Rattus norvegicus: one gene and its partner. The protein of the gene in region 2 interacts with the protein of the main gene of each other region in a pairwise test. Links are inferred from orthologs where the notes say so. Each region holds a gene or a part of one and is shown on either strand. Other genes may lie near its edges. The genes, in order: Cbll1 and Cdh1.

What was found.
Region 1: the proteins of Cdh1 (region 2) and Cbll1 interact in a two-hybrid assay, tested with the Homo sapiens proteins (2 studies listed by BioGRID, with this or other methods). The link is inferred for Rattus norvegicus from reciprocal best matches to the Homo sapiens genes CDH1 and CBLL1.

What each region holds. Positions count from the first base shown.
Region 1 is NC_086024.1:53,801,869-53,817,246, forward strand, and holds the start of Cbll1 (E3 ubiquitin-protein ligase Hakai), read right to left. Parts: upstream 10,918-15,378; 5' UTR 10,896-10,917; coding exon 10,883-10,895; intron 10,095-10,882; exon of another isoform or gene 8,755-10,094; coding exon of another isoform or gene 8,589-8,754; intron 6,599-8,588; coding exon 6,431-6,598; intron 4,052-6,430; coding exon 3,951-4,051; intron 3,640-3,950; coding exon 3,556-3,639; intron 2,751-3,555; coding exon 2,677-2,750; intron 376-2,676; coding exon 1-375. UniProt on the Homo sapiens protein: E3 ubiquitin-protein ligase that mediates ubiquitination of several tyrosine-phosphorylated Src substrates, including CDH1, CTTN and DOK1. Targets CDH1 for endocytosis and degradation.
Region 2 is NC_086037.1:51,393,977-51,410,108, reverse strand, and holds the start of Cdh1 (cadherin-1 precursor), read right to left. Parts: upstream 7,932-16,132; 5' UTR 7,806-7,931; coding exon 7,758-7,805; intron 7,455-7,757; exon of another isoform or gene 7,347-7,454; intron 7,007-7,346; coding exon 6,880-7,006; intron 1-6,879.

The DNA of each region.
Region 1 (15,378 bases), on a different chromosome or scaffold from region 2:
GGTGGAGCCATGGACAACTCTGCTGGAGGAGCACGGATATCCTCGTGTGGCTGATTATAGTGCTCATGTGGCACATGCTGCAAAGGAGGCGGTGGCATCATGATGTGCTGCTTTGGAGGAATGTGGCTCATATGATGCTTGTCTGGTGGCATTATGAAACGATCAGGGATTTCAGTTGGTGGGGGGGCAATAGGAGGATGAACATTCTCAAGTGAAGCACGGGTAACAGGTTTTCCAGCTCTCATATGGCGATGGTTGATGTGAGCTTGTAAGTCCCTTTGAGACAGATATGTTCTCTTGCAACCTTGAACAATGCTACACATGAAGAGAGAACCTCGTGTGCACTGTTCAATCCGCTGCACAGGATCACTACATCTAAACAGGAAGATAAATTGATTTACTTAAACCAAAATATAAAACAGCACATTTAATTTAAGCTTTACTTTAAAATATTATATAAGATAGTTGCAAAGTTAACAGTGAGTACTGAATAACTCTCAGTGAACCTTTAATCTTCCGTGGTTGCATCAGACACTAATTATCAACATCTTTACCAAACTGAGAACATTCTTACCTCAGAACTCTAAACTGTATCACCAAATAGAATGCCTTAAGAGACCTTCTATTTCCCAATACTTACAGCTCATTAATTTTCCCTAACTATAGTATGACTTACATACAGGAAGGACAAAGCAAAGGATCTATCATTTACAACCATGGAATTCAAAATTCAGTTGACTTTTCCTCACTGTAGGAGCTAGGATGCTTCTAATTTGTGGCCATTTTGCACATTTCCTGCTTTTCAGTCATCTAATTCACTACACATTCAGAAACACCTCCAGTTAAATAGGGTAAGGTCTTTTCTTTTGGGTGATGCCTAAAAGCAGTAGAATATGCTATTTAAATTAACTCTGGTAACTTTATTTCCTGCACTTGGTTTTACAATTAAGACAGTCAAACTCTCTAGAGAGGTAAAGACTACGCTGGTGAAGTTCATACTAGAACACATTTAGTTACCTGAAAACTAAACTGCACTTTTAAATAATAATACTGGAATCTCTAGGGGATGGAGACATGGCTCCGCAGTTAAGGGCACTGAATGCTCTTCCAGAGGTCCTGGGTTCAAATCCCAGCTCCCACATGGCAGCTTGCAACTATCTGTAACTCCAAAATCTGACACTCTCACACAGACAGACACACAGGCAAAACACCTATGCACTAAAGGTAAATAAATTAAAAAAAAATTTAGAGAAAATCTTTTAATGTCCATTACATTTAATGTTGCATTACATTTTAATTATTATCTTAATGGGACAATATATGTTAATGTAATTTTAAAGCTAATGCACAACCCTGGGCTGGGAAACAGGCATTAGAGAAATACCTCAACAAAGTCTATAATATATACTTCCAAATTAATATTCTTCTATATAACTAGTTCTTTATAACTATATAGAACATATATTAGTATTCCTTAAACACAGTATGTATGTATTTCATAATCTATAACTTTAAAAATCTAATGAAGGGTTGGGGATTTAGCTCAGTGGTAGAGCGCTTGCCTAGCAAGCGCAAGGCCCTGGGTTCGGTCCCCAGCTCTGGGAAAAAGAAAAATGTTTAAAAACCTAATGAAATATGCCAAGAAAATCAGTTGTCATTGGGTCACTAACAAACCCTCCCTTTTTTCCCTAGCAATGCCCATATCCTACACCATCAAGGGGCAATCTTTTCTTACAGTTGTTCATAGTTCTATTAGCAACCAATAGTATTCCTTGGGGTACTTTTAAGTACAGGTTAAGAGGAGCTGGGAAGCCCTGAGCTAATCCAAAAAGTTTCATTCCATTTTTCTCAAGGCTTCCTTATCAGAGGTTTCAAATTAATATAAATATTCACTTTATTATACAGCTATCCCAAAACAGACAGCATGCTGCATAACTTCGAGTCTATCATGATGTCATTATCACCCAACATCCTTATGTTTGGGTAACTGGAAGACTGGCATAGTGTTTATTATATGCCAGAATCTACTATTCCACTAAATCTTATTTTAATCTTAAAAATAATATAGGGAGCTTATAGATATAAAGCCCTACTTGTACCACATAGCTAATAAATAGTCAAAAGGGGACTAGAACTCAATAATTCTAATCCTGGGACCAATCAGACAGCTCGACAGGTAAAGTGCTTTCTGTGCAAGCCTGCTAATCTAAGTGCCATCCCCAGAGCATAGGTAAAGTTGGAAGGAGAGAACGGACTCCACCAAGCTTCCTCCTGACCCTTGCTCATGCTCACACCCCACCCCACCCCCACATTATTCACATACAATTAATAATAAAAGAAAGTTAATTCTAATTTTGGAAAGATTGTTCTCAATCACCAAACCACACTATACTTGCTTCCAGGTGTGCCAGACAAATACAAAACAAAAACAAAAACAAAAACTGGTTTGGTGTCTGACACTGTTCCTATGGTGATAAAGGGATTTCATCATTTTAGCTACTCTGAATAGGCCAACAATGGCTAGTTCCCTCTTCCAGGGAAGGGGAAAACTCCAGGTTCACAGAGAGTGTCTCAGCCAGCACATCTGCATCCTTGTCTATTTCCATTACACCAAAACCTTTAAGCCATCTTGCTTATAAGGCACTACTATTAGACAATCTAATGATTGTATCTTACCCCGGGCACATCTTATCTCCTTTTTTTTCATGTAAAATAGCACAGTCATAGCAAAAGACATGCTTGCATGGAATCTGTAGGCAAAAATATCACAGTTAAGCATCCTATAGCATTTCAATACTGTCAGTATGTGATCTATAGACAGAAGGCACACAGGAGTTAATGATTATTTATTAAGACTATATACCAGAAGCAGCTAAGAGTCCATCTATCCCATCCATCCCATCCATCCCATTCTCCCTCCCTCCCATCCATCCATCCATCCATCCATCCATCCATCCATCCATCCATCCATCCGGTATTTCAAGGCAGGGTTTCTCTGCAAAGCCTTGTTTATCTTGGAACAATTCATTTATCTCTGCATTCTGAGTGCTGGGGTTAAATGGGGCAATAAAGTGGGTGGCATGTACCACCACTGCCCAGCAACAATCTTAAATAACAAGTTTTTGAAAATGTTTTGAAAACTTTGGCTCTTTTTCCAATACCTGTACATCTGCTAACACTTTCCTTTTTATTTTGGAGACGGATCTCATGTTCAGCTCAAATTGCCTTACACTCTGATATACTTGAGGCAGTCCTTGATCTTATGATCCTTCTGCCTCAACTTCTGTTGGGAGTGCTAGGATTAGAAGACTATCCCCCCTTGCCTGGCATCTACATCTATTTTCAGATGTGTGAACCTAGCGATGTTAAAATTGTCCCTGCAAGTATAAAGCTCCTGAAAAAAAAACTCTAAATGTGTTTTATCTTACTGCGATTCTCCTGAAACTATTCTAAGACAGTAAACAGAATAACTATATTAAATTCATGGTATAATTAAACTTCTCTTAGCTTTTTTCTATGTATTATGTTATAAAAACAACCTTAGTTGTAACTTACCATTCTTCCATAGACTTTAATGGGCAATCCACATTTGTCACAGAAATGAACTGGTGTATCATCCTTTTCACCTAAGATGTTTATCTATTGAAATTAATAAAATTTTCTCTTTAAGCAATTTTGAAAATTGTACTTATCAATTCACACAGTGAAATGATTAGAATTTCCTAAGTTGTTACCACAAACAGAAGTAAAAACTGATTAGTATAATTCCATTTGCTTGTTTTCTTTCTTAAACAGCAGTTATGATTTTACTTGGTTTTACTAATAATTACTTCAAATTATTTCTGAACATGGTAGAAATAAGCAAGTGGACTTGTGTGTGCTACAAGTCATAGATATACTAAAAATCTATACCAGTACTAAATGCCGAATGTTTCATTTTTTAGTTATACCTTAAAATCCCAAAACAGGTGTCCCGGAAATCTTCGCTGATTTCCAAAGAGTTCGCCCCCTTTACAGTCATACCGCTGTTCTTCATTATAATCAAATCCTTCTGAGAGAAAAAAAGTCACATTATATTTTTCAACTTCAAATTTCATTTCAAAAGTATATTTACATGGCAAAATTGGTCTATTTACTGAAAAATATTTCTGACTCTCAGAGACCTAAAAACATGAAAATCAAAATTACAAAAACTACTCTAAAACAGTAAAAAAAACTCAAAACCTGTATTAAATTCATGTTATTATAAAACTTCCCTTAGCTTTTTTGTATATAAAACTAGTTATAAAAATATCATAATAAATATTTTAGAATCCTACCTCTACAACACCAGACCTTAATTGTACTTACATATGCCCACAGATTTTAATAGACAATCCACATTTGTCACAGAAATTAACTGGCATATCATTTTTAAACTGGAGTTTAAAATGCCAGCTGGAAGCAGTCTTCATGATCATTGAGTCCACCTCTAGTAATTCAGAAATGACAACATATAGTGGGTACAGCAGCCACCTAAGCTGAGTGCCAGAGCCAAGAACAGACATGTATTTGAGTCTCTTATTCAACGCTCTTACCAACTCCACAGTCCACCTCTAGTATAAAACCTCACCAATTACCACCATGTTTACTGAACAAAATTTAAAGATACCCATCATCATTTATTCTAAACTACCTACAAATTGTAAGAATAGAATTTAGGAGTAAGACAGATCTTCTAGGACTTGAGTGTATGTTAACAGCAAGATTTCTATCCTGGAAGAAAAAACAAATACTCTCTATTTGTGGTAAGACCTCACTTTAAAAACCAATACATACCCATAAATGTTCTAAAGCATGGGCCAACAAACTGTTGCTATAAAAGGCCACAGTATAATTCTTAGACTCTCTTGGTCATATAAATCTAGTAACTCTGTCATGCTAGTGGAAAAATAGCCACAGGCAATACTCAACTGAACAGTAACTTTGTCTTTTTTAAAGGAACTAAAGTTGGCCTGCAATCAGCTTGCTGACTTCTAACAGATGGGAAGACAGGAGAGGGGGGTTTTATATTCATGAAAACTAGGAAAGGTCTTTTAAAGAATATACTAAAACATGGAAAGAGCAAAGTCTAGTTAACTGGCTACCTAGAATGTTCAAGTTCTTTACAGTAATATTTTATACGTAAAGTTCAAAAGATAAATGAACTATACATTTAACAAAGTCAGTATTATACAGAATTCAAAATTAAGAGAAAGACACTAATGAAAATAGATCCTGGAATCAAGACAAGCTATGAAAGGCATCCAACCACACACTTCAGCTCCTGCCTGTAATCCCAGCACTTAGAAAGCTAAGGCAGCAAGATTTTTGACCTTCAAGGACAGAATGTTACAGAGTCTGCCTCAAAAAACTGTTAAGCTAATAATACAAAATATTGATGTGTGTGAGGAAAAAACTAACACACCCTTTCTGAAGAATAATTTAGCAAGATCTGATCAATTCTGAAGTGTACAAACCAAGTCTTTACTCTCCTTCCTCTTTTAAATGGTTCTATGGATGAAACTTGGGCCACCAGGCTTATGTGGCAATTACCCTCACCCATTTAAAAACCTGGCCATCTCCCAAGTCAAAGTTTTAATATTCATGTTATAACACAATTATAGCAAAACAAGTATCTACAAGAAAGTTAAATAAATTATGGGATATCTATAGACTACATACTATTCATTTGTTTGAGACAGGGTCTGACCTCAAACAACAATCCTCTAGTTTCAGCTTCCTAAGTGCTGGGATTTCTTTCTGCCATGTGCTACATCACCAGGGTCAACCATTTTTGCTTTTCTTTTTTTGTTTTTTTCTAGACAAGATTTGTTCTGTGTAGCCTTGGCTGTCCTGGAACTTGCCCTGTAGACCAGGCTGGCCTTGAACTCAGAGATTCACCTACCTCTGTCTCTGGAGTGCTGGGATTAAAAGCATTCACCACCACCACCACCCAGCTTACTTGAAACATTTTTTTAAATGTGAAATACTATTTTTAACCAGCTAGATTTAATCATGCTACAATATGGATATACTTGAAAATATCATACCATACATAATAGATACACAATGTGAAACATTTTTTTAAGAGACAGTAACATCAGCTTTGGAAAGGCCTGTGAAAACAAATTTTACTTTTAAGTAATGCTCTCTACAATATCGATTAGATTTTTTAAAAAGAGGGAAGGGTGCTTACAAAGGAATAGAAGACAAAGAATATGTAAGGCTAAAATTTTAAAGTAGGTTTAAGTAAATAAAGTCAGATGGATTATTTGATATACTCAGATAAACAACAGAACTCTTTTAAAATTTACTTGTATTTATTTTATGTGCAATAGTGTTTTGCCTGCATGAATGTCTACGTGAGGATGTCAGATCTTGGAGCTACATTTCAGTTTAAACAAGTTACCTTCATCACCTTGTGCGGCCTTTGCAGGCATCCTGCTAACAGTCCTTTGAGTCCGAGGGGCAGGCTTAACCTTGTTGGCCTGTTTGGAGATGAGTTTTATAGGAATTCTTCTGCGGACATCGAGACCACCCAAGGATCCAGAACTATTAGTGCCTTGTAACTCATTGTCTATATGAATGGGAAAAAAGAAATTATAGTTGTTTTCACTTTTCTTTTTGAAAATTGTTCTATAAGTATAAAGATAAAATCAACATCAAACAGTAAATTGAAGATCTTGGTTCTGATTAGAAATACTAGACTGGTAAGGTTTGGGGCAAAGCTGTAAAGAAACGCTTTTGGTTAGGCTTTTCTTTAACAGGAACCCTTTCAGAAGCTGACACAAATTACAGAACCTTTATCTTTTCCTAAAAAGTGAAAATAAAAACTTCCATAAAATTCCATAGTAGTTTACAAAAAGATAAACCTTTTAAAAATCTTTTAAAAAGGGCTGGAGAGATGGCTCAGAGGTTAAGAGCACTGACTGCTCATCCAGAGGTCATGAGTTCAATTCCCAGCAACCACATGGTGGCTCACAACCATCTATAATGAGATCTGATGCCCTCTTCTGGCCTGCACGTGTACATGCAGGTGCAACACTGTATACATAATAAATAAATCTTTAAAAAAAAATCTTAAAAAAAAAAAAAAACCTTACAGATTGTAAAGATTTTTAAAAACAAAGGAAAAAAACGAAATTGTCTTTATATATGTGTCTAATTATCAAACATTTGAAGTAGCCATGCAGTAAACTTGGTAAATTTACGTAACAAATTGAAAATGCAACACTACATTAGAAATACATTTGAAAATAAAGCTTTAATTATTGTGCTGAGGGGGACTGCTGTGGAGCCACAGAGGATATGTGGAGGTGAGAACACAATCCGTGGAGATTGGCTCTCGTCCGACCACCTCATCCCCGGATGTTGACTTCAGGGCCTCAGAAGGTGGCAGTGTCTTTATCTGTTAAGCCATCTTACCGGTTTATGTGTTGGCTTTAAAGAAGTAATAGTGCATTATTTGACCTATACCATCTCTAAAGACATAGGCAACAGATACCTTTAGTTAACAGTCAACACTGCAATGGAAAAGTATACTTTAGGCTTGGGTCTTAAAAAGACACTTTCTAGTCCTTTAAAATCTTATCATCTATGGAAAAAAAAGGGATTCTCGTCCACAAATAAGAGGTACATTATTTCACAGGACTGACTCACACAAAACTTTATTTTTCAAGTACATAAAAATACATAACACAAGTATTCAACTTTACCTTAGAAAGGGAAACACTTAAAAATAGAAAATGCAAATGTAATCTTAAAATTGTAATGTCTGAAACAGATTAAGGAATAGTGTTTCTGCAAGAATTACAATCAGAACTGATAGCCAAACTGTCCACATTAAATTCGGCAAAACCAAAATGTGAAAGTAGTCTGCTAGTACTAATGACTTCTACAACTATAAGCAATACCAATCAATTAAATTCATACCCATTTGCCTTTTGTATGAACAAAATAAAATTTAAAATGGGTCTCAATGATTAAATATCTTCTATTTACTTTCTACTCTTATAGCAACTAACTCCTCTCAAAATCTTTCATAGATGATTAGATGAATGGCTACAACCTTGAATTATAATAAAGCCAACTTGATCAATCTTCAAGACTCCACTAAAATGGAATGTCTTTCATGTATTTCAGCAGTCTCCACTGCATTTGCTCACCCATATAGAAATACCTACATAGATCTATACAGATCTATGACAGATACTTTTTTCCCCTTGCACAAAATGTATTCTCAACTTTCCAAAGAACTGAAATAGCCAACATGATGCTCTTCAGGTATCACAAGGATTCTTAGTGTGTTACTTCTGTGAATGAAAACAACACACTTTACCTGCCCAGCCTTTGAACCAGCCCACATAACACAGTTCTCCATTATTTAAACAGTAGCCTGGCCCTTTCACGAGCCTGTTTCTAAAGCTACTGTTTGTCTCACAGATTTAAGTGACAAAAATCTGAAGTTTGTGTGGGGACACCCATACATAGAAACAAAACAACAAAACACAAAGCATGTAATAATTATCTGGATAAGGGATAACAAGAATAGTTTAAAGCAAATATACCTTTATTATATAGTTTTAAAAACAACACATTTAATATTTTATCTTGAATAAAAGGAGCCAAGGAACTGAAGGCAGGTATGCAGCTCACTGATAGAACCTGTCTAAGGTACTGAAGGAAGGTTCTGGGTTCAGGTCGGTCCCCAGCGTCCATCTCTCCAAAAAGCATGAAGCAGTCTTTTACAAAAATTGGGCTACTTTTACCTAAGCACTGATTATCTCTGACAATGACCAAAGAATGAATCAAGTGTTTGCAGGATCTTTATTGGCCTGGGTGCCTCTGAGATGTAGGATCATGGGGACAGAGCTGGCCTGAAGAGCTGCAGGGACATCACCTTTTTTGCTGCTTCTTTCCACCCCAGAGGGCCCTCAGCTCACTGCTAACACTTCTGCAATCCAGAGAAACACTAATGTCTTTGCCATTTAAAAATATTCTGAAAACTTTCTGGCAAAATTCTACTCCAATACTTCCATTTAAAAGACCTCTTGATCCTTTGACATTAAAATCATTATTTTGAGATGTCTACTCAGTCAGAAAACTGTCAACTAACTAGCTGCCATTTCTTGATTTAGTCTTTGACTTAATTTGATTTTTTTTCTTCTCAAAATGTGCAGCAATTGAAACTGAAGCACTAGGAGACTGTGTTGTAACTGATTTAAAATCTAGAAAAGCTACCATTAAACAGAAAGGAGAGCTGTCTGGAAACTTTTTTTTTAACCTAGCTAGCTCAGTAGTGATTGTTTTCGTGTTAGAATGACTGTTCTTATCTCTCCAGGCAACCTTTGGCTAATAACTTAGAAACTAGGATAATTCTTTTACACAGTTCTAGCGGGATCTCATTTCTCTCACATACTTCCATAAACCCATGAGCAGCTGCTGGATCGCCACCAAAATATTTGTGGCAATTGCCTACTCTCTCAGTCCTGCTCCTACTTCCCCTACAGCGTTGCTGGGGACCTGCTAGGTAAGTTGCTCTACCACTGAGTTTTGCTTTAACTGGGTCTCCCTCTACGGTAATGCAACCACCACATAGATTATTTATTTACCCCCGTTCTTCCTCTCCACCATTCTATATAGAAGAATAGGAATTATTTTTTAAAATATTATACTCCCTTTTGTTCAGCTGCTTTGTAGCCGCTCAAACTCTTTATCGTGATTTTCAAAGTCTTGAAAAAGGTAACTTGTATTTTCCTTCTCAACTTAGGACTAACTAAGCTACGGACATTTGGTCTTCTCTATATCTTCCTACCATTCCAAAGTGGGGGGGGGGGGCCCTTTTCCTGGTACTCTCTGAAATTTCTTACTCCATAAGCACCTGTTTCTTAAAGTACTCACCACAATCTATAAGGAGCTTTTAAAAAAGAAACCAACCTGTCTGCCTCCTTTGACAGAATGCAAACTCGAAGACAAGGACGTAGTCCTATTGTTTACTATCCCATCATTCTATCTCCAAGCCTACAAGTATCTGCATGCAATTACATAACTAAGTGGTGTTTGAAGACTGCGCGCATCTCAGTCAATTCCTAAAGAAAAAGCCTTTCCTCCTGCTTGGCGATATAACTGTCTGAAGCACTCAAAGCCAAGCGCTAAAACTAAAACCAAGAAAACGAAGCCAGCAGAAACGAGGTTTGAAGCTACTCGCAATATAAGATGAAAATATCTTGATCTTAAAAATTCTGTATATATCCCCAAAAGATGCGAAAGAACCACGGCCGAAGGGCGGGGCATGCTTTGAGTTCAGGTAGAAAAAAGATGCTCCACTTATAAGTTCGAAAACTATATCCGCCTTTATTCTCTAACTACCAGTCCGCGAAAAGCCAACAAGACAATAACCACAGGAGATGACCACTACAGCAGCCGCCCGAAGCTGAGAAGCAGCAGGAAGTCTCCAACCCACTCTCGCCCACAGTCCGGACGCTTCTCCAATTCCGAGAGTGGAAAACACCCGCCTATTTCCCCAGCACAAAGTGCAAAGCAACCGGAATGAGAAAAACAAAAACAAAAACACAACAAAACTGGGGCCGTCCCTTTCCAAGAAGCCTGCGCTGCGAAGGGTTCCGAAACGAGCTCAGCGGCACCAAAGAAGCGGTGCTGCCGGTCTCGAGGATGGAGGCACCGCTCCGAGGGTAGGCCGGGAAGCAGCAGGCCCAGTCCGGGACCGGGCCTGAGCTTGCTTCCTCTCCGCCACGTCCCGGCGCACTGGGGCGAGCGTAGCCTCTTGTGCCTGCTGGGCGACCAGTCCCACACGAGCCACGGGGGCAAGAAACTAGGACCCCCGCTGCCTCCGCCTCCTTACCAGTGTGATCCATGATTCGGCTCGCAGGGTACAGTGGGAGCGGAAGTGAGTCGCTCCGGAGTCGCAGCAAGCGCGTGCGCCCTACCTTCCGGAGCGCAGAGGCGGAAGTGCGCTGGGACTGCTCTCACTGGCTTCCCTTCCTAACCGCACCATCCGACTTTGGTGAGGGAGTCACACATAGGCAGGACTGAGGCAGGAAGAGAGGGGACACGAGGGCTCTGGTGCCGAGACTTCTAATTCTCCCCAGAGGCTGCCCTCAGCTGTAGGAAGGATATCTATTGCAGTGGGAGAGCAATAGGAACCAGAGGGAAGCGAGGCAGGCAGGTAAGCCGCCGCCCACCCCCTGCGGCGCGAGGCCTTCTGGGATTTGTAGTCCACCCAGAGTGCAGTCTCAGCCGTTAGGCTGGTCCCACCCCACCGGGCGGAGTAACGGTTTGGAATGCCCCCCGGATCCGCCGCTGGGTATAGAGAAGTGTAAACACGCGCGCTCCGTTCTTGCCCGAGGGAAGCTGAGTTAGGTGCTGGGAGGGAGGAAAGGTTCTTATTGCCTAATCAGGCTTTGTCCTGATGAGCCCCAACGCCCACTCGACACGCGCGTTCGCCCTGGCTCTTACCGTAGTTTCTCAAACTGAAATGCGTGTATAATGCTGACTAGCCCCTCGCTCTAGAGAACACCAGGCGCCTCTAATCCCTGCAAAAGCTGTAGGGAGTTCCAGGTTGTCCCGGTCCATCGAGGATGCAAGGCAGTTGTGTGCAGAGAAGGTGAAGGAGGGAGGATAGGAACCGATGGAGTCGGAGGGAAAGCGTTAGGGCTTGGGCAGAGGGAAGAAATGAGAAAGGGCAGGCCCCGACTGAGGAAAAGAGAGTTACCAAAACAGGCGGTACCTAGTTCCAGTTCTTGGTCCCTGGGGTCTGTGGTTGCTGCTTTCATCTTGCTCAGCCAAAACAAAAGCAAGTGTCAACGGCGATTGGTGAGGACCTTCAGAGCACCCCCCACCTAGATTTGGCTCATAATAGGTCTTCTCCCCTCTCCAGCCCTTCACACTTGAAGCTCTCAGATGAGTAGAAAGGAGCACAATTAGTGGAAAACATCAGCCTAGGAGTCAAGGGATTTGGGCTCTATGGTCGTCCCTTGGTGACGACATTGTTACCTTGGGTTGTTCACGCTTTCAGTGCCAGAGTTCCTAGATCAATAAAACATTATTATATTGGCCTCTTTTAAAAAAATGTTTTCACAGTACTCAATTCTGAATAAAGTATGTGTAGCAATGTGTTCTGTGCGTTGCACAGTAACAACTGTGACTAACGCTGCAGTGATCATAGTTTAACATGTTATTTAGTGATTGTCTTCATTGTGGTCTTTTCAAAGACTCCCACTCATTGCGCCTTTACAAACAAGGTTGTAGGTACACTCAAGAACATTTTTAAGTCGATGTCCTTTTGGTTTTGTCCTTGTTAAAATGTAAATTTCTGTACTACTGGGTGTTTTTCACAATTTTTCAGTTGCTAGGATTATGGCAGGGGGTAGGTACTGAAGCTTAACCTTTCTCTGATAAATCTCTAAATATAGTGCTGACACGCTGGGGTATTTAACAACTGTCTGATAAAAAAGAAACTGGGACAAATGGCTAACTGTGGTATCTATTAGCATGCCATCGAATGGTGCTAGCCTCCAGGAGGCTTTCTCAATATCACAATATCACAAATACCTGTGGTTCTTTTCAGCCCCGTGGACCCCACTGTCTCCCCTAAACTTCAGCTTGTGGGCTTCCCTCCCCCTAGCTTCTCTCCCCTCCCCTCCCCTCTCTCATTCTCATTTTCCTCTCTTGCCCCTATTTCCTCTCATGGCTAGGTCCAAACCTCTGGCCATGTTTGGTCTACCACTTTCCCTGCTCAGGACTCTTCCAGATGCTGTCCTCTCCCTCATATCTACAGTAAAAACCTTCCTCTCGACCACACCTCAGAGAGGTCATGCCTTCAGTTTATACATCTGGTGCTGAAAACCTCACTTTATACAACAACTTAGACTGCCAAGGAGGTAGTTTTTACCCAGGAAGTGCTTTTTATCCATCACCTCCATCAAACGTAAGATTGATTAAAAACTATAGGTTAATAATAATGACTTAATACTAGAGAAGTAGGATTTAAAAGAACTTTAGATTGTACCTATAGACTGTTACATTTTGCAGGATTTTATGATATACTGTTAGGAAGTCCTCTGGAGTATCCTGCCATGGTGGAGCATGCTTATAAAGCCCTTGGAAGACTGAGGCAGGAGGATTGCAAGGTCAAAGGCAGCCCGAGTGGCAAGTAACAACACTTGCCGAGGGCTTGCTTTAGTAAAACCCGGAATGTTTATCCAATGTGGCCTTGCCATGGACGCCCTCCTTCTTCTGTGTCTGCTTTCTTCTCCCATCTATTAGAGTTGCCATGTTCTATCAGGGCAGGAGCGGTGTGACAAGACGGTCTCCTAAGTTCCTGTTAGATTATATACAGCCGACACGGTGCTTTCACTTTTCATTTTCTATTAGCTGTAAAGCTAATGAGTGTTTTTGTGGCATTTCCCTCTCTGTATGATGTACTCTGACGGTACTACCCTTTCTAGTATGCACTTCCAGTTTCCCTCCACCTCCCTAATAGTTTCCCTCACTACCATGTCCCCTACATCCCACGGATAAGAGGGACTTTGGGATGCTTAGCTTTGTAATACCGGTTTTGTCCATTTCCCTGTAAGTTCCATAACTTTGTCCTTATGATTGAATAGTGTTCTATGTGTGAAAGGAACATTTTTTTAATCACCCATCTGTTACTGGATACCTTGGCTGTGTTGGCTAGTGAGTATTGTCACAGTAAAATGAATGTGCAGATATCTGTATAGTAAGTTAACTGATTCATCTAGCCATAGTCCCAGAAGTGGCATAACTGGGTCATGTGGGAATTCCATTTTTAAAGGAACCTCCACACTGTTTTCCATTCCAAGCCGTGGTATATAAGTTTTCCTCCCCTTCCCAATCCTCACCAACATTTGTTGCTTCTTGATTTCTTTGTTACACATTCTTACTGGGGAAATTTTTGCTTCCCTAATGGCTAGAGATGTTGGACATGTTTCATGTAATTTTTTTTTTTCGGAGCTGGGGACCGAACCCAGGGCCTTGTGCTTGCTAGGCAAACGCTCTACCACTGAGCTAAATCCCCAACCCCTCATGTAATTTTTGAATAGTTTTTGAACATTTTATTTATGTATACAAGTTTACTGCCTGTGTGTTATTCACCATATGCAGGCACTGCTCATGGAAGCCAGAAGGGGGCATCAGATCTTGAGGCTGATGGTCTCAACAGAGGGTTGTGAGCCACTCTATGGATACTGGTAACTGAACTCAGGTCCTCTGCAAGAGCAGATAATTAATTGCTCTTAACTGATGAACAATCTCTTCAGCCCCTCAAATGTTTATTGTCTGTTTGAAAGGTCTCTATTTACTTAATTTGCCCGTGTATCATCTGTTGTTTTAATGTTTATTTGTTTCACTTTATGTATTTTGGATAACAGTCCCCTTGTCAGATTAATTACTGACAAAGGTTTTCTCCTGTTCTGTAGATTCCCTTGACCTTGATGATTGTTTTCTTTGCTATACAGCAGCTTTTTTTTTTATACAGCAGCTTTTTAATTTAAGCAGTCCCACTTGTCAATTCTCACTATCATTTCCTGATCTATTGGAGTCCTATTCAGATAGTTACTGCCTGTTTTATATTGTATTTTCCTGTAATACATTCAAAGATTCAGGTCTTAACATTTAAGGCCTGTGGTTAATTTTGAGCTGATTTTTCTTTGGAGCAAGTTTTTCTCCACATGTGCACCTTGGCACTCAGACACAAATAAATAAACATAAGAGAAAAAACTTTTAATAGATTTTAAATAAATTAATATTTATATAGAATAGTGTTGTCTTAAAGTTTATAAATGTGAGAAGCCATTTTAATGGACAACCTGAAGCAACTAGGTGATACATTTTGAGTCTGTGTATATGCGTATACACACTCATATATAGTTTTATTTTGATTTGCCTTTTTGACACAGGATCTGGCCATGGAGCTCATACTGGACTCATACTTGGCAGTCATCTCACCTATCCTTCCAAATGCCAAGATAGACATATTTATATACCAATAGGCTTAACCCAAAGCATGTGTTTTCTTCTTACTGGCAGACTACTAACGTTTGAATCACAAGCTAACGATTCAAGATACTTCGGTGCCCTTCTATTTACAGCACTGTCTATGCTAGGAGAAAAATAGGATGGATGTCAGAAAGTGTGTTTTGTTGAGAGGTTATTTCAGTGTCTTGAATACAAGACCAGGCCAATAACCTTCATCTCCAGATACTCTTTCAGTTCAAAGCAGAAGCCCTGTGTAACACGCAAGCTAGCACTTACAGAAATGCTTAAAGACCTGTTGTGGTTTGAATAGTTATGGCCCCCATAGATTCATGTGTTTGAATG
Region 2 (16,132 bases):
AACCAACTTTCAAACCAAGCTTACAATGGAAAGGGAAAGTCTTAGACTGAGGGCCCCACAGGGGGTCCTATACTAAGTATTCACTGAACATTTGGTACATGCCCCTAGGATATATATGCATATGGTTATATCCACTTTACAGACTGGGAAACTAAGGCCAGGGCTGCTGGGTTGTGTGCACATTGGTTATTCCAACATTTGGGAGGTGTAAGCAAGAGGACCCAACATTGTAAGCCAGCGCCACATGATGAGTTCCAAGTCAGCTCCTAAGCAGGGCCTGGCATAGAGTGGTGAATGCCTATATATCAACACCCAGGCAAAAGCCAGGCAGATCTCCAACCAAAGGCCTAGGGAGCGCTAGGCCAGCCAAGGTTACATAGTGCGTCTCAAAAAATAAAATAAAAGTTTAATTGACAGAAGAAAATCAGTTTAAAAAGACTAACTGTTCATTTCCAGACCCGGGTTTGATGTGTCCCTTCTGTAGCCTCGGAAGCTATCAGAGAAAAGTGCCTGGTTTGCCAAGGACAAGCCTAGGGCTAGGCTCAGCTTCCAGGGAGACTGCTGGGCAGAGAGCCCTCACAAGTACAATTAGAGATTCCAGAGGACCTACTGTGCCCTGCTCACTTACCCGCCAGGGCAGTGCTGCTCTGAGGATACAGAATGAAGCCTGAGAAACACTGAGGTGAGTAGCAAAGGTTGATTTATGCATCCATTCATTTGTTCAAAACAAGACTTGTAGTCCTACTGGGTGCCTAAGAAATTATTTACTTTTTCTTCTGCTTCCTCCTCCTCTTACTAAAACAAGGTCTCAGTGCAAAGCCCTAGAGAGCCTGAAACCCACTACAGAATCAGACTGTCCTTAAACATCTAACCCTCGTCCTGCCTTAGATTCCACCATGACCAGCTTTTTTTTTTTTTTTTTTCCGGAGCTGGGATCGAACCCAGGGCCTTGCGCTTGGTAGGCAAGCGTCTACTACTGAGCTAAACCCCCAACCCCATGACCAGCTTTTTAAAGAGACCTTCTGCCAAAGGCAGGGTTCCACAGGTAGCCCAGGCTAGCCTCACATTTGAGATCCTTCTGCCTCAGGCTTTGAAGCATTGGGATACAGGTATGGACTATGACGCCTGGCTTTATTTAGTAATTCTTGGTAAATTTCTGAAGCAACTTAGAGACAAACAGAAAAGAGACTGGAGACTGACCTCCACAAACTGGACAGTTTATTTACCTCAACCGGCGCAGGGCAAACACTCTCGAGGAGGGGAGGGGTGTCTCTGAAAGGTGAAGACTTATATAGGTGGTTTTGGGGAATACTGCTAAGGCTCTGTACAACTGCTGTTTCTCTTTCCTGGAGTTGTTTATCCAGACAAAGCCCTATCTTTACAAATGGTCTTGCCCTGACTATCAGGATGTGGGTAGTAGTGAGAGACTGAGTTTGGCAACAGCAGCGATGGGGGAGGGGCCAGAGTTTCACTATAGGACCTTGGTCAGGGTGTGGAGGAATTCAAGACTTTCTTTAATCTTTAAAACATGGTCTCACTAAATAGACCTACAGAGCCTGGAATTTCCTATGTAGACCAGGCTGGCCTTGAACTCTGCCTTCTGAGTGCTAGGATTCAATGCGTGCACCCCCATCCTCGGCTTTAAAACAAAAAACATAACAGCAACAAAATAAACATTACTTATTGGGAGTGTACTCTCAGGTATGCATGTGGAGGTTAGAGAATAAACGTTGGAAGTCCTTTCTTTCCTACCATGTGGGTCCTGTGGACCAAATTCAGGTCTTCAGGCTTGGTGGCAGGTGCCTTTGCTCACTGATTTTTTTTTTCTTCTTGAGACAGAATTTCTGTGTAACCCTGACTGTCCTTGACCTCAGAGATCTGCCTGGCTCTATCTCCTGAGTGCACCACCACACCCAGCTCACTGGCCCTTATTATGCCTACTTTCTTTACATTCCTGCATTTCGCCCGGTCCCATATTTATGTTCAGCCATATAAGCTTTTTTTTTTTTTTTCGGAGCTGGGGACCGAACCCAGGGACTAGCAAGCGCTCTACCACTGAGCTAAATCCCCAACCCCCATATAAGCTTTCTAAGATTTATTTATTTATTATGAGTACACCATACCTATCTTCAGATGCACTAGAAGAGGGCATCAGAGCTCATTACAGATGGTCGTGAGCCACCATCTGCTGCTGGGATTTGAACTCAGGACCTCTGGAAGAGCAGTCAGTGCTCTTAACCACTGAGCCACCTCTCCAGCCCCAGCCACATACGTTTCATTCATTGCTTTAGCCCCAGAGTCTAGCCTAGCACTGGCATAAAACAGCAACTCGATATGGACAGCCAGATGCCCATACTCCAGCTAGCACCAGGTGTTTACTAATCAAATATGCACTAGTGCATATAACACAACAAATATACATGATTCTTCACACCCAACAGATGGGTAAACTGAGTTTCATAGTGGTAAACTGTCTTATTTATGTAAAGCCACATTAGTAGCAGCTATTGAAGTTCAACCTGAGCCTTTCTGTACTTTCTCAACGACTTGCTATACTGATTTCATTCTTCCCTTTGGAAAACTTTATGCCCCAAAAAGAGATAACGGTGAGGCAGAATAAAACCCTAGGCGGCTGAGTCTGGACTATGTTGGGTGTCTCTTGCTGATTTTAGGGGTTTGGCAGCTTGTGGGAGATTTCAAGAGCTGATTGTCTCCACACCTGGCTTATCTGGTGCTGCTCTTGGAAGGGAATGAGTAACAGATACCAAGGTGAGCATTTCAGCCAGTAAAAAGCCCCAGAGAGTAAACAGGGATTTCCATACACACCTGGCAGAGGTGGGGCAGGAGCTGGGGCAGCTTCCTTAAATGGCCTGGCTTAGCCAGTGACCTCACCACCTACACTCCTCGGGAGACACAAAAGCAAGGACAGAATGGCAGCCACTACTCTCCTTCCTGGGATGGCCCACATGAGCCCTAGTCACCAGCATGAGTAATTAGGGAAAGTTCAGGAAGCTGGGGGTGGGAAGTGGGTATCTGATGATGTAAGGGGACCCTAAAGCAGGTTTCTATGTTTGCTTTTCTCACTGTCCAAGCAGCTTTCAGCACATCCTTCGGAATGGAGAAGAAATGGGTGTATTTAGTCCACACAGGTGGCTGCCTGGGAACTAGGTCAATCCATCAAATAACCAGAGCCCGGCCCAAAAAACAGGCCCGTTTGTCCTACAGACATTGTAAAGCTGTGGAAGCCATCAATTAAAGGATTTATCAGCACTCCACAGGGATGTACCTTGGTGTATTAGTCAAGGAGCCTGGGCCCCTGAAAAGTTTGTGCTAAAGAGAAAAAGAAAGGGAAAATAATCAACTCTGAAGAAGCAGCTTAAACTGGACTTGGTGATTGTTGTTGGGAATCCCAGCATTCAGAAAACTGAGGCAGGAGGATTACCACCATGAGTTCAAGGCTAATGTGGGCTACACTGTGAGTTCCATACCAGCCTGAGTTAGACCCTCTCTCAATAAACCAGAGTGCTTCACTCTGCTGCACACAGACTAAAATTAGAACAGGACAGAGATTAGTGTAGCCCCTGACACACATACATACAGATTAAAAACAAACCCTGAATCAGCTTAAAAACAAACAAGAAGCAGTATGGCGGTACACACTTGTATCCTAGCCCTGGAAAAGTGGGAGCAGAAAGATCACAAATTCAGTCATCCTCTACTACCTAGAGAGTTGCAGGCCAGCCTGAGATACCTGGGACCCTGTGTCAAAAAAACAAAAACAAAAACAAGAAATAGAAACAGAACAGCACTCAGGAAGCAGAAGCAGAGGGATCTCCGTGAGTTCAGAGGCAGCCTGGTCTACAACAGTGAATTCCAACCCAGCTAAGGCTACATAGGGAGATCCTGTCTCAAAAACAAACAACAGAAACAATAAACAAACAAACCAACCTAACTAAAGAATATGCTTAGATAGTGGAGGGGGTTGGGTTTTGGCTTTGAAGATTCTGCATTTTAGAAGCCAAAGAATCTACAGGTGAGCTCTTGGGACACCGGGATGATGCTAACCAACCACATCAAAGCCTATTTTTGACCTTTTAGCCACCAGTGTCAGATTCTCAGGAGCCTGCATAGTGGACCCAATACCACAATCCTCTGTTTCCCCAGGTCCAAAGAGTGTCTCCACCTTCCTAAACGAAGGCAATTCTTTTACACAAAGCAGTTTCTGGGGGTACAATGTGTGATTTCTGGAAAGATACCTCTGATCTAGAGCAATTCCACATTCCACTGGTGCGATTAGACCCCTGGAGAGTAGTGGTGGAGCCTCAGACTTAAGGGGAACTGGAACCAGCCCGGGGAAGCTTGGAAGCTTGTGGGCTGCTGTGTGGAAGCTGCTTCTCCCACCTAAACCACCGGTGGTGGCGGGGCTCTCTACCTCCCACTGAGCATGCTCTCAGCGGGGAGGCTCTTTAACTCCCACAGGGCAAGCTCTATCTCCATCAGAGCCAGCCACTCTCAGCTCCCCCTACCTCAAGACCTCTGTCCTCAATTTTCACAATGGACTGTGTTTTCCCCGAAAACGCACACACATATCCCGCGCCCCCTCCCTCCTCTCCCATCTCTCTCCTTCCTTCTTCTTTTTCTTTCTTGTTCTTTTAGGAAAGGTCTCATCTCACTCGGTAGTCAAGGTAAATCACTACATAGACCAGGCTGACCTCAAACGTCCAGCTTTTAGCAAGCCTCTGGCCTCAGAGCTTCCCCCCCTCCCCCAAGAGCTGGTCACAGGTGTGAACCACCAGGGAGGCAGCTCACACACTTCACTTCCGGAATGCTGGTCACAGGTGTGAACCACCACACCAAGCAGCAGCACACATTTTCACTTATTTTTGTCTTCTCTTCGGGAGAAAAGGAAACCAAGAAGAGGAGGACCTGCAGTAGATGCTTCAGGCAATACAGAAGCCAGTCAGGCTCGTGAGTTCCTTGAGGACTGGAATGGTGTCCACCCTCCAGACATTCTCATTTTTACTTTAGGTAAATGACTCACTCGCCTCACGGGACCAAAGTGAACAGGTGGTACTATCAGTTTTAAGTGATCTTGTCACCGATAACCAGTGGTGTTAGTGACTATTCACTAGCCCTTAGAGGTGCAAAATAAAAACCAGGTTAGTGCCAAAGTGAGCATGTAATCCCAGCACAGTCTGAGGCAGGAGAATCACATAGGGAGATCCTGTCTCAACAAACAAACAAACAAACAAACAAAAAACCCGACCAACACACAGGTGGTAAAGTTCCTGGCTAACCTGTAACAGGCCATTACAGGTCTCATCCTCAGCGCTGCTGACATAGGCGGTCCTAACTGAGGCACTGCATTGGGATCCCTGATATATAAGCGCTCCCATGTCTAAGCCTGCTCTGCTCCACACTGAGTGACATCTACTTATTCTCAGACACTCACTGCCACCCTCGGAAACATCCTAGGCCACTCATCCCTCACCAGTCCATCCCAAAGTGCCACTGAAGGGCATCCTGAAATGCTCTCAGCAACCTACCAGAGGCTCAAATTATTCCTTGGGCAGGAATCAAGTGGAGACTGGCTGAAGGATCCCTAACCACTCCAACCTCAGGCCCACGGGGCTGCAGCCTTTCTGGACCCTTAGAAAGTTCCACCAATGGGTTGGAGAGATGGCTCAGTGGTGAGAAGCACTGGCTGCTCTTCCAGAGGTCCTGAGTTCAATTCCCAGCAACCACATGGTGGCTCACGACCATCTGTAATGAGATCTAACGCCCTCTTCTGGTGTGTCTGAAGGCAGCTACAGTGTACTCACATACATGAAATAAATAAATAAATCTTAAAAAAAAAAAAAAAGTTCCACCAAACCAGTCAGGTCTCAGAAAAGCAAGTAAGACTAGCCAATCCCAACGGAGCTGCTGTTTCTCTGTAAAATGCACCACCAAACCTGGACCCAACTCGCAAGGCTCACAACAAAGTTTTAGGCGCCATCACGGTTGCTGTAGATTGTTCAGGTGGCTTATGGCTGGAAGAACAAACGTGGTCAAAGTATTCCCAGAAAGGGATTGGGTGAGTTCTCCTTCTAAAATTATTCCCTTTTGTTTATCATACTTTTGGGATCAACTAAACTCCTCATGAGAGAAGCCATTTTGGTGCCAAAGAAGCATTTGGAAATTAGGGAAACCAGTTAAAAAACAAACAACAACAACAAAACACCTGGTCCTCTTGCCTTGCTCCCAGCCATGCCCAACAGTTAAAGAAAATTCTAGATTATCACAGTAAGACCTGAATATATATTGAGTCCTTGAATATATGAACCAGAGCTACCTTTTTTCTTAAAGAAAGTAAAAAATAAATAAATAAATAAATAAAGTATTCCTTGGAAAAGCAATACCTGTATCAAGTATTTTTATCTTTATGAACAAAAACCACAAGTCATGTTCATGAGTTATGAGTCAGTTCCTCAGTGGCCATACCTAAATAGTGGGAGTCAAATCCCGGTTCAAATGCCTGCCCTGTTGACCCCGTGAAGTCACTCTTTGAGCCTCCAATTGCTCATCATTAAATGGATATACAGTTCAACTGGCCCTACCCAGCAGGTTTGGCGGTCTGGAATGACAGACTGGCTCCAGTAATCGGTTGGAGAAATACCGATGACCTCTAAATACCCTTGGCCCGTTTCTGCCCTGTATAAATAGCAGAGACAGACATATCTGCCTTGATCAACCACAATCAATAAATAGACTCCCAAATCTGCCTAAATCCCAAGGGAGAGTTCTGCCCATTCCATCCTACCGACAAAGTAGCACAATTTCTTGGCGCCTTCCCTATCCGACCCCACTCGGCCGATTAACGCAGTGGAGTTCCCTTACCTCTGCCCAGGATGTGGCCTCTCTCCAGGTGCCTCTCCGGCACCAGGAAGGTGTAGACCTCGGAACTGAAGCCGGGACGGCAGGAGTCAGACTCCGACTCCGGCTGCTGACAAAGCCACGAGGAGACCTGGGGTGGCGAGAAGGTAGACAAACTGGTGACTTGAGGGGGTTCCCAACAGCCCACACCGAAACCAAGAGTAACCCTTCCCTCGCCTGGGCGGTCGGGATTTGTGGGAGGACCCCCTCGGGGCAGACCGGGACGCAACCCTCTCAACCCGAAACCAGCCTCCAAGCTCAGCTCCAAGAGCCTTTGGGGGAGGGGGCATCTGGGGCCACCACCTGGCAACCGGGTCTACCTTTCTCTCCTAGCTCCATTTGCATCTCACTGGAGACGCCTTTACTCTTTCCGGACACCACTTTCTTAGACCGCGAACGGTCTCAACCAACGCCTCGGACTTCCCTCTTACCTTAGAGAGCCCATCTCCAATCTACGGTCCCTCCCTCACATGGCAGGTGCTTTTTGTGGTACTAAAATCCCTTTCCTTATCTCGGGTCGTCCGCGCTCCTTCTGTCCCCCACCTTCTACAGGCAGGCCCCCATCCTAATACACGCCTCCTCCGTCCGTCTCAAACAGGGACCCTGCTCAACTCGGGGTCCCGGGAGACGGCAGCGTGGCGCGCCCCCACCTGGGAACCTAAGCGAGAGGCGGCCCCTCTGCGCTCTCCTGGACCTCCCTCCCTGCACAGCGTAGCCTCCAGGGCGATCTGGCCCTCTGGAGCCCAACTTTCTTGGAAGAAGGGAAGTGGAACCACAGAAGGCAAAAAAAAAAAAAAAAAAAAAGCGAAAAAGCGAAGCGGGTCGTGGGACCCTCCACATACCTGCAGCAGGAGCAGGAGCGCGGAGAAGCTGCGGCACCGGGCTCCCATGGCTGGCCGGGCAAACGCCGAGCAAACACTGAGCTCGGGTGCGGTCGGGCAGGGCCGGGTTAGGCCGGGCTGAAGTCTAGCAGAAGTTCTTGAGAACTCAGTAGTGCGCCGCGGCTCCCACACCAGTGAGCCAAGCAGAGGCTGCGGCCGCCAGGTGAGCCCGCAGGCACCGCCCCCGGCGCCGCTGATTGGCTGGGGACGCACCTGCAGGTGGCAACCAAGGAGCCCGCACTGCCCTCAACTTCCTCCACCCGTCTGTAAATTGGTGACATGGGCCGGGCTTAGGAGACTTCCTTGCTTCCTTATTCCTCGGTCGCTCGAATCCTAGCCTAGCTGTGCTCTGGCCCACTGAGACTTGCAGTTACAAAAGACTTTACTCTTCATCTAGGTTTCTGTTTTGTTTGTATTTATTTTGTTTGGTTAGATGAGTTTGTTTGGTTTGATTTACATTGTCTTAAGGATTTTAAATGACATTTTAACGTGTGTGTGTGTGTGTGTGTGTGTGTGTGTGTGTGTGTGTGTGTGTGTGTCGCGCGAGGGGAGGCATATACTCGCAAACGCTTGTGCCACAGATGCCGTTTTCGCCTTTACTGACTGAGCTATCTCTCCGGCGGTTTTCTTTGGTAGCCTTTTTTGTTTGTTTTCCAGCCCAAGTAGCCTCAGCCATCCTCTTGTTTCAGCCTCTCAAATGCTAGGATTTGGGGCACCAGACCAGACTAATCATCTAATTTTCTAACACCTGTCCCCCTCCCTTTTGAGATACAGTCTTGCTATGTAGTCCAGTGTGGCTTTGAACTCACTATTGTCTCAGTCTCCTCACTTCTGGGATGGAGCTACAGGGACCCACTACCCGGTAGCTCCACTAAAATCTGTTCTCTTAACTTCAGTTCTCAGGAGGTTAGTGAGCCAGGGAGGAAGCCAATGGATTAGCATCCCCTGGAATAGGAATTACAGGCAATTTCAGTGCTCAGCGTGGGAACTGAACTCTGAACCCCTGGAAGAAGAGCAAGTCATCTTAACTCCCAAGCCACCTCCCTGGCCCCTTGTTTGTCTGGTTATTGTTTGTTTGTTTGTTTGTTTGTTTGAGGTCTCTCTCAGAACTCACTATGTAGACCAGTCTGGCCTCGAACTCGCAGAGCTCCAACTACTGCTACCTCCCAAGAGCTAACTAACATTAAAGGCATGTGCCACTACGACTTTGTGTGTATTTGTTTTCTGAGACAAGTTCTTCCTAAGCAGCCCAGACTGGCTTTAACCTTAGGATCCTCTCGCATCAGCATCCTAAATGTCGGGAGTATGATATGTACCACCACGCCCGTCAGGTTTTTTGTTTCGTTATTTTTATTTTACATTTTTTATTTTTAAAGTTTTATTTACATTGGTGTTCCCCCCCTCCATGTATGTCTATGTGAGGGTATCAGATCTCCTAGAACTGGAATTACAGACAGCTATAAGCTATCATGTGGGTTCTAGGATTTGAACCTGGTTCCTTTAGAAGGGCAGCCAGTGCTCTCAAACAGAGTCATCTCTCCAGCCCTCTCCAGTCAGTTTTGTTTTGTTTTTCATGCTGAGCTGGAAGAGATGCTTTAGTAGTCTCTCAAATCTGTTATTTACCTTCAACTTGATATCATGTAGCAAGTCAATGCTAAAGCAAAGACCAGAACTCAAGCTCTCCTGCCCCAGAGACAGAGACTTTTAATGCCATAGCCATAGCACAGCCATCAGCACCTTCATCAGAGAATCCTGTCCCCGGTACATAATTTTAGGATCAAAAAGAAAATAGACAAACGTTAGATCAGTTTCCCTGTCTGCCTATGGCCTGCCGTGTCTGTGTTGCTTGGCTACATGAAAACAAAGGCACCTCTCACTCCTGTTGGCCTAGCCTTGGCAAAACAGAGATTGGGGATGTGGCTCAGTTTGTCAAGTGCATGCATGAGGCCCTGGGTACCATCCTCAGCACTGTATAAACCAGTCATGGTGGTGCCTCTGTGTAATAGGCACATAGGGGTTACACATGGGCAGGAAGATCATAACTTCAAAGCCATCCTTCTCAGCTATGTACTGGATTTGAGCCCCGTGAATCTCAACAAGCAACCCAAAACTACAAAATAATATTCTTGCCAGTCACTAGCTGTGCAACCTTGGGCAAGTCCTCATCTGTGCTAACGCCGAAGCAATGACTGAAGTGTGGAGGTTGTGCCTTTGAAAGGTCCAGCCCAATCTGACCATGAGTATTTCCCACCGTGCTAACGGTGAACCTGAGTCCACAGAGAGCACAGCCTCATCCACAGAGGTGCTGTCTCTAACCCACACAACCCCCACTGATTCCACCAGCTCTCCCTGCAGGCTGACCCCTCCATTTCAATGGCTTTCCAAGCACACACAGAGCAGCCTTTTGGATTTCTGCTTCTTGGCTCCCTCTGCTTCTTAGCCCACCAGGCGGCTCTGAGGGAGAAGGCTCTGGTATTTCCTTTCCCACTGAAGCTCCTGCCCAGATCATGCCCCGAACAAGATAATGGAAAAAAAAAAGAAAGAGGCGTTTTCTCCCCCATGGGGCAGCCTTGTCGTTTATTTTTTTTTCCTCCCAGTTACATAAAAAAATACATATTTTATATCATTGCTGGGTGCGGGGAGTCGTTAGGGCTTTGCTTTCTTTTGGCCAGCAAGCGCTGGCTTTGGAACTCTGTGGTGACTCTTCATTGACTCTTCCATTACTCGGTGATAATTCAATAAAAAGGATTTTAGACAACAATTAAGGGCAGCAAAGACAGGTCAGGTCTGATGCGCTTTTCAGGCCTGATGCACTCTTCAGATTGCTCAAGTCCTCTGGAGAGGGTAAGAAAGGGCCACTCACTGCCCCAGCCAGGCTATGCAGGCTGAGGAGAAAACACAAAGGGGTTCCCTATACAGTTGGGGCTCTGTGTAGCAGTGACCTTCCTCGGTTTACCCTTCTGTCAAACAGGCATAAAACTTCAGTGTGGAGAGTCACTGAGCCAGTATGTAGAGACTATGCGATGGGAACTGAATTGTACACTCTTCCCCGGTCTGCATTTATTAATCTATAAAGGGTGGTATTGATAGCAGTACATTCAGAAGGTTCGTGGGTGAGAGATAAGCATAAACTTCTGATCTGCCTGCCCTTGTCTCCCCAGGACTGGGATCTCAGGTGTGCGTCTCCATACCACACTTCCCAAGTTGGTGGGAGTAGGTGGGAATCCAACCCAGGGCCCGTGAATGCTCAGGCAAGCACTCTCCAAATTGAACTATACGTCCCGGTCCCTCAGAAGATCCTCCTTCATACTCTGTAACATTTTTGCTCTTTTTAATAGAAATTAAACCCAAGACACAGAGTATGGATAGCTATATTCCCAGCCCTTTTTATACTTTTTTTTTTTTTTAGACAAGGTCTCCACTAGTTGCCAGGCTAACCTTAAACTCACTCTGTACCGCCCCAGGCAGGCTTTGAACTTGTCATCGACCGAAGGTTACAGGCTCGAACCACCAGGCCAGGCAACTCTGTTCAGCAACAGCAGACTAGGGAAACAGTCTATGGGGAAAGAAAAACACAAAACACACACACACACCACACACACACAGACACACACACAGACACACACACAGACACACACACACCACACACACAGACACACACACACCACACACACACAGACACACACACACCACACACACACCACACACACACAGACACCACACACACACCACACACACACACACACACACACACACACACACACACACACACACACGTGAGCACCCTGGGAACCTCCCCAGCCCCAGGCTCTCTTTTCCCCACACCCCAGTAAAAAAGCCTCTTAGGCTATCTGTGGCCTGGGAAAAACTTCCACACAATCCAGCTAATCATTTAGAACTTCTCAGGGCCATTTACATTTTAAAGAGGGTGCTGGGGGCTGAACTTGCTGCTTTCAAAAGAATGAAAGGCTCTGGCTAGTCTGTGTGTTGGACAACTGCTGGGATGGTCTGTGATTGCATATAATAGCTTATCAACATGGGAGGAGAAAAAAATTAAATCCAGGAGTTAGGATCCTGGGAAGTTCGGGGACTAATGGGGAAAAGCGCCTTGTGATCATTCAGGGAAGATTAACAGACGGCCCACTCCCCGATTCGTGGCACCCAGCCCTCAGTGGCTCATAAGCTGTAGGCTCCTTAATTGAACAGTGAGGGTCATTTCCTGGATGCCCTACAGGTCATCTGGGAAGCTAATGATTAACCTCCTGAATAGTCTGGGTTCCAGCCTCAGAATTGCAAAAACACTGAAGGTTCTACTGGTAAACACAGGCCTTTAATCCTAGCACTTGGGGTGCAGAAACTAGCAGATCTCTGTGAGTTAGGTCAGCCTGGTCTATACAGACAGTACCAGGCCAGCCCTGGCTACACAGTAAGACCATGTCAAAGAGAGACAGGGAGGGAACAACGCACAGTGTCCTTATTGAAATTATTTCTAAATTGCCTAATACAATGTGAATGCTACACCGTGCTTGCACATATTGTCCTGGAACTGGTGCTGTAGCCCAAACTGGTCTCAAACTTGCAGGGCAATCCTCCCAAGTGCTAGGATTATAGGTGTGAGTACTATACTCAACCTAGATGCAATTTAAAAAAAAAAAAATCTCACCATGTTCAAGTTCACAGAGACCTACCTGCCTCTGTCCCCCAAGTGCTGTGATAAAAGGCTTGCCTTGGTTCTCAGCTTTCAGATACAATTTTTAATTTTTTTTTCTTTTTTTCGGAGCTGGGGACCGAACCCAGGTCCTTGTGCTTGCTAGGCAAGCGCTCTACCACTGAGCTAAATCCCCAACCCCACAATTTTTAATTTTAATTTATCATTTTTTTTCTTTTTTGGATTTTATTTTTATTATACCCTATCATCTCTCTACCTACCTACCTCTCTATTTGAGGGGAAGCGCCTTGGTGTGAATGGAGTGTGTGGAGGTCAGAGGGCAGATTGGGAGTAGGTTCTCTCTTTCTAACCTGTGGATCCTGAGGATTGAACTCTGTTGCTATTAGGCTTGGGGGCAAGCACCTTTACCTGCCAGACCCTCTCAATGATCTCAGTGGTCCAGATGCATTCTTTTAGGGCATACGTGTGTGATGTGTATGCAGTTGCAAGTGCACATGTGTTCCTCTGGAGGCCAGAAGTTGTTATGTCAGGTGTATTCCTCCATCACTTCACTTGTTTACTTCAGATCTTTCAGTGAACCCTGCGCTTGAGAATATTAACAAGTCTAGCTGTAGGGATGGTGCTGATGCTAAGGTCCTGTTCCCCAGTTGGTTCTTGATCTGTCAGTAAAGAAAGCCATAAGCTAATTACTGAGTGGAAGGAATAGGTGGGACTTCCAGGTCCTCGGAGGAAAAAGAGAAACAGAAGCAAGGGAGGAGAGGAGAGAGTTTGTCATGCTTCAGAGAGGAGAACCAAGCAGCCATGCCATGTGAGGTCTTGGGAGGAGCAGCTTGACACAGGCTGCTCCTACAGGTGGATGGTCAAGGATGTTTAGCAGGGACTAGATGTATCCTAGCAACTAAAGTTAAGGGCAGGTGGGAGGAACAGAGATAAGAATGTCGTTAAGGGCATACTTTTCCAGGCGGGAGTCAGTAGCACCCAGCAATTGTGCCAAGAAGGCAAGTTAAAAAGCAGCAACTGGGGCTGGAGAGGTGGCTCAGTGATTAAGAGCACTGACTACTCTTCCAGAGGCCCTGAGTTCAAATCCCAGCAACCACGTGGTGGCTCACAACCATCTGTAATGAGATCTGATGCCCTCTTCAGGTGTAGATGAGGACACCTACAATGTGCTTATATATAAATAAATAAATCTTTAAAAAAAAAAAAAAAGCAACAACTATGTGTCTTTTACCTGTGGATTCAAAGGAAGCTGGGTGGGAGCTTCCTGGAGTTTAGAGAGGGTAGCAAAAAGCTACAGACAACATCTAGCCACACTCTGACTTTACTCTTTGACTTCCTGCCATGTTCTCATATGACATTTACTTATTTGTTTGTTTGTTTGTTTGTCTTTATTTTAAACAGGAGCTCACTGTATAGCCTGGCTGGCCTGGAACTCACAGAGGTCTGCCTGCCTCTGCCTCCTAAGGAGTTCTGGGGTTAAAGACATACACCACAGTGCCAACAGAGTCAAAGGTTTTTTTTTTTTTTTTTTTTCTTTTTTTCAGAGCTGGGGACTGAACCCAGGGCCTTGTGCTTGCTAGGCAAACACTCTACCACTGAGCTAAATCCCCAATCCCCCAGAGTCAAAGTTTTAAGCAAAAAAAAAAAAAAAAAAAAGTCAGGGTTCAATGAAATGGCTCAACAGGTAAAGGCTCTTGCTGCCAAATCTAACATCCTGAGTTTGATCCCTAGAACCCATGTGGCAGAAGAAAACTGACTTCTCCACTCATACTATGACATGCATGGACACAGGAGCAAATGAACATTAAAACAAAATAAAGCAACACTCCAGGGGCGGGGCCCTTCCCATAGCATAATATCCCAAAGTAAAAAGTCCTCTGGCTACCCTCTCCTCAGAAGCTAAGACTCAGCTGGTGTCAGTTGAGCCTCCATTACCAAGTTCTAGTCACCTCGCAGTTTGTAGCCCCAAGGATGAGGATTCTTCAGCTCAGCTCCATATCTCGCTGAGTCAGACAACAAGCATTTATCAAGTATTCCCACGTGCCTGATGTTCTTCTCAGTATAGAGGACACAGAAATAAACCGAATATGGTCCTTGTCTTTATGAAGCTCATAAGATGGTAAGGGCTATGGGCAGGTAATCATTCATTCATTTATTTATTACATACGTACAGAATGCAGCCGGGTGGTAGCATCACTCGGGAAGCCTAGGCAGGTGAATCTCTGCGTTCTGAGACCAGCCTGGTCTACAGAGCAAATTCTGGACAGTCAGGGCTACATGGAAAAACCCTGTCTCCAACAACAACAAAACAACAACACAGAGTGCAAAGTATGTGTCAGGTATTGTGCTAGGACCAATGAGTGCACTATGGCACTAACTAAAGCACAGCTACCGTTTAGGGCAGCCTGCCAAGGTCGATAAGCATAAGCTCTCCTGTCCTCACCAGGTCTTGGCCATCACTCGATCAAGACATCCATATTACAGTAGCAGACAGTCTAAATGACTAGAGCACTCTGAAGAACAGGATCAGCAGCACCTCCACAGTTGGCAGCACAGCTCTGTCTCAGCCCAGAGGCCAGGGAAACTAGAGGAAACAGAGAGCCTAATGTAAGTCCCAGAGTCCAAAAGTAGAAGAACCAAGTGTTCTGATTACCAGGGGAGGGAGTAGAAACTGTGGTCAGGATGTTCGGAGCCGGGGACCGAACCCAGGGCCTTGCACTTGCTAGGCAAGCGCTCTACCACTGAGCTAAATCCCCAACCACGAGAGAAGAATTTTTAAAAAAAAATTTTTAAAAAGAGTTCTGATTACCAAGGGCAGAGGAGAACATCCTGGCTTCCAGTGAGAGCTGGTGCACCTGTCTTCCACTCTTTATTTTGTGGGAATTCTTAGCAGGTTAGATGGTACCTATTTTAGTGCGCTTTCTATTGCTATGATAAAACCCCATGGCCAGAGGCCACTTGGAGAAAAGAAGATTTATTTGGCTTACAGGTTTCCTCATGAAGGGCTGACTCAATGGCAGGAACTTGAAGGCAGGAACTGAGCAAAGGCTAGTCTTGCCTACAGGCAATCTGATGGAGCCATTTTCTCAGTTCAGATTCCTCTTCCCAGATAACTCCGGCTGTGTCAAATTGACAAAAACAAAAACAAACCCACTGGATCAGAACCCATCCACACTTGATGGATCTTCTGGTTTTTTTAATTTTGAATTTTAAGTGTATGTGTGTTTTGCCTGCTTGTATGTCTATATTCTGTGTCCGTGCATTGCCCTAGGAGGCCAAAAAAGTGTCAGATCTCCTGGAACTGGAGTTACAGACAGTTATGAGCCACGTATGGATGTCGGGTTTGAACCTGAGTCCTCTAAAAGAGCAGCCAGTGCTCTGAGCCATCTCTCCAGTCACGGTGGCCCTTCTTTACGCAACCCACTGATTGAACCACCAATATTTTCCAGACACAACCTCACAGATACACTCAGGGATACTGCTTTCCCACCTATTTGGTTATTCTCTATTCTAACTCTACTCAAGTTGACATCTACAATTCACTGTCAAAAAGTGTGGATTAGCCGCAAGGTGAACCCAGGGTTACTGGTTCCAGAGTCTTTAAAAACAAAACAAAAACTTTACATATTTATTGTTTGTGCCCATGTGCAAGCGAGCGCAAGTTCTT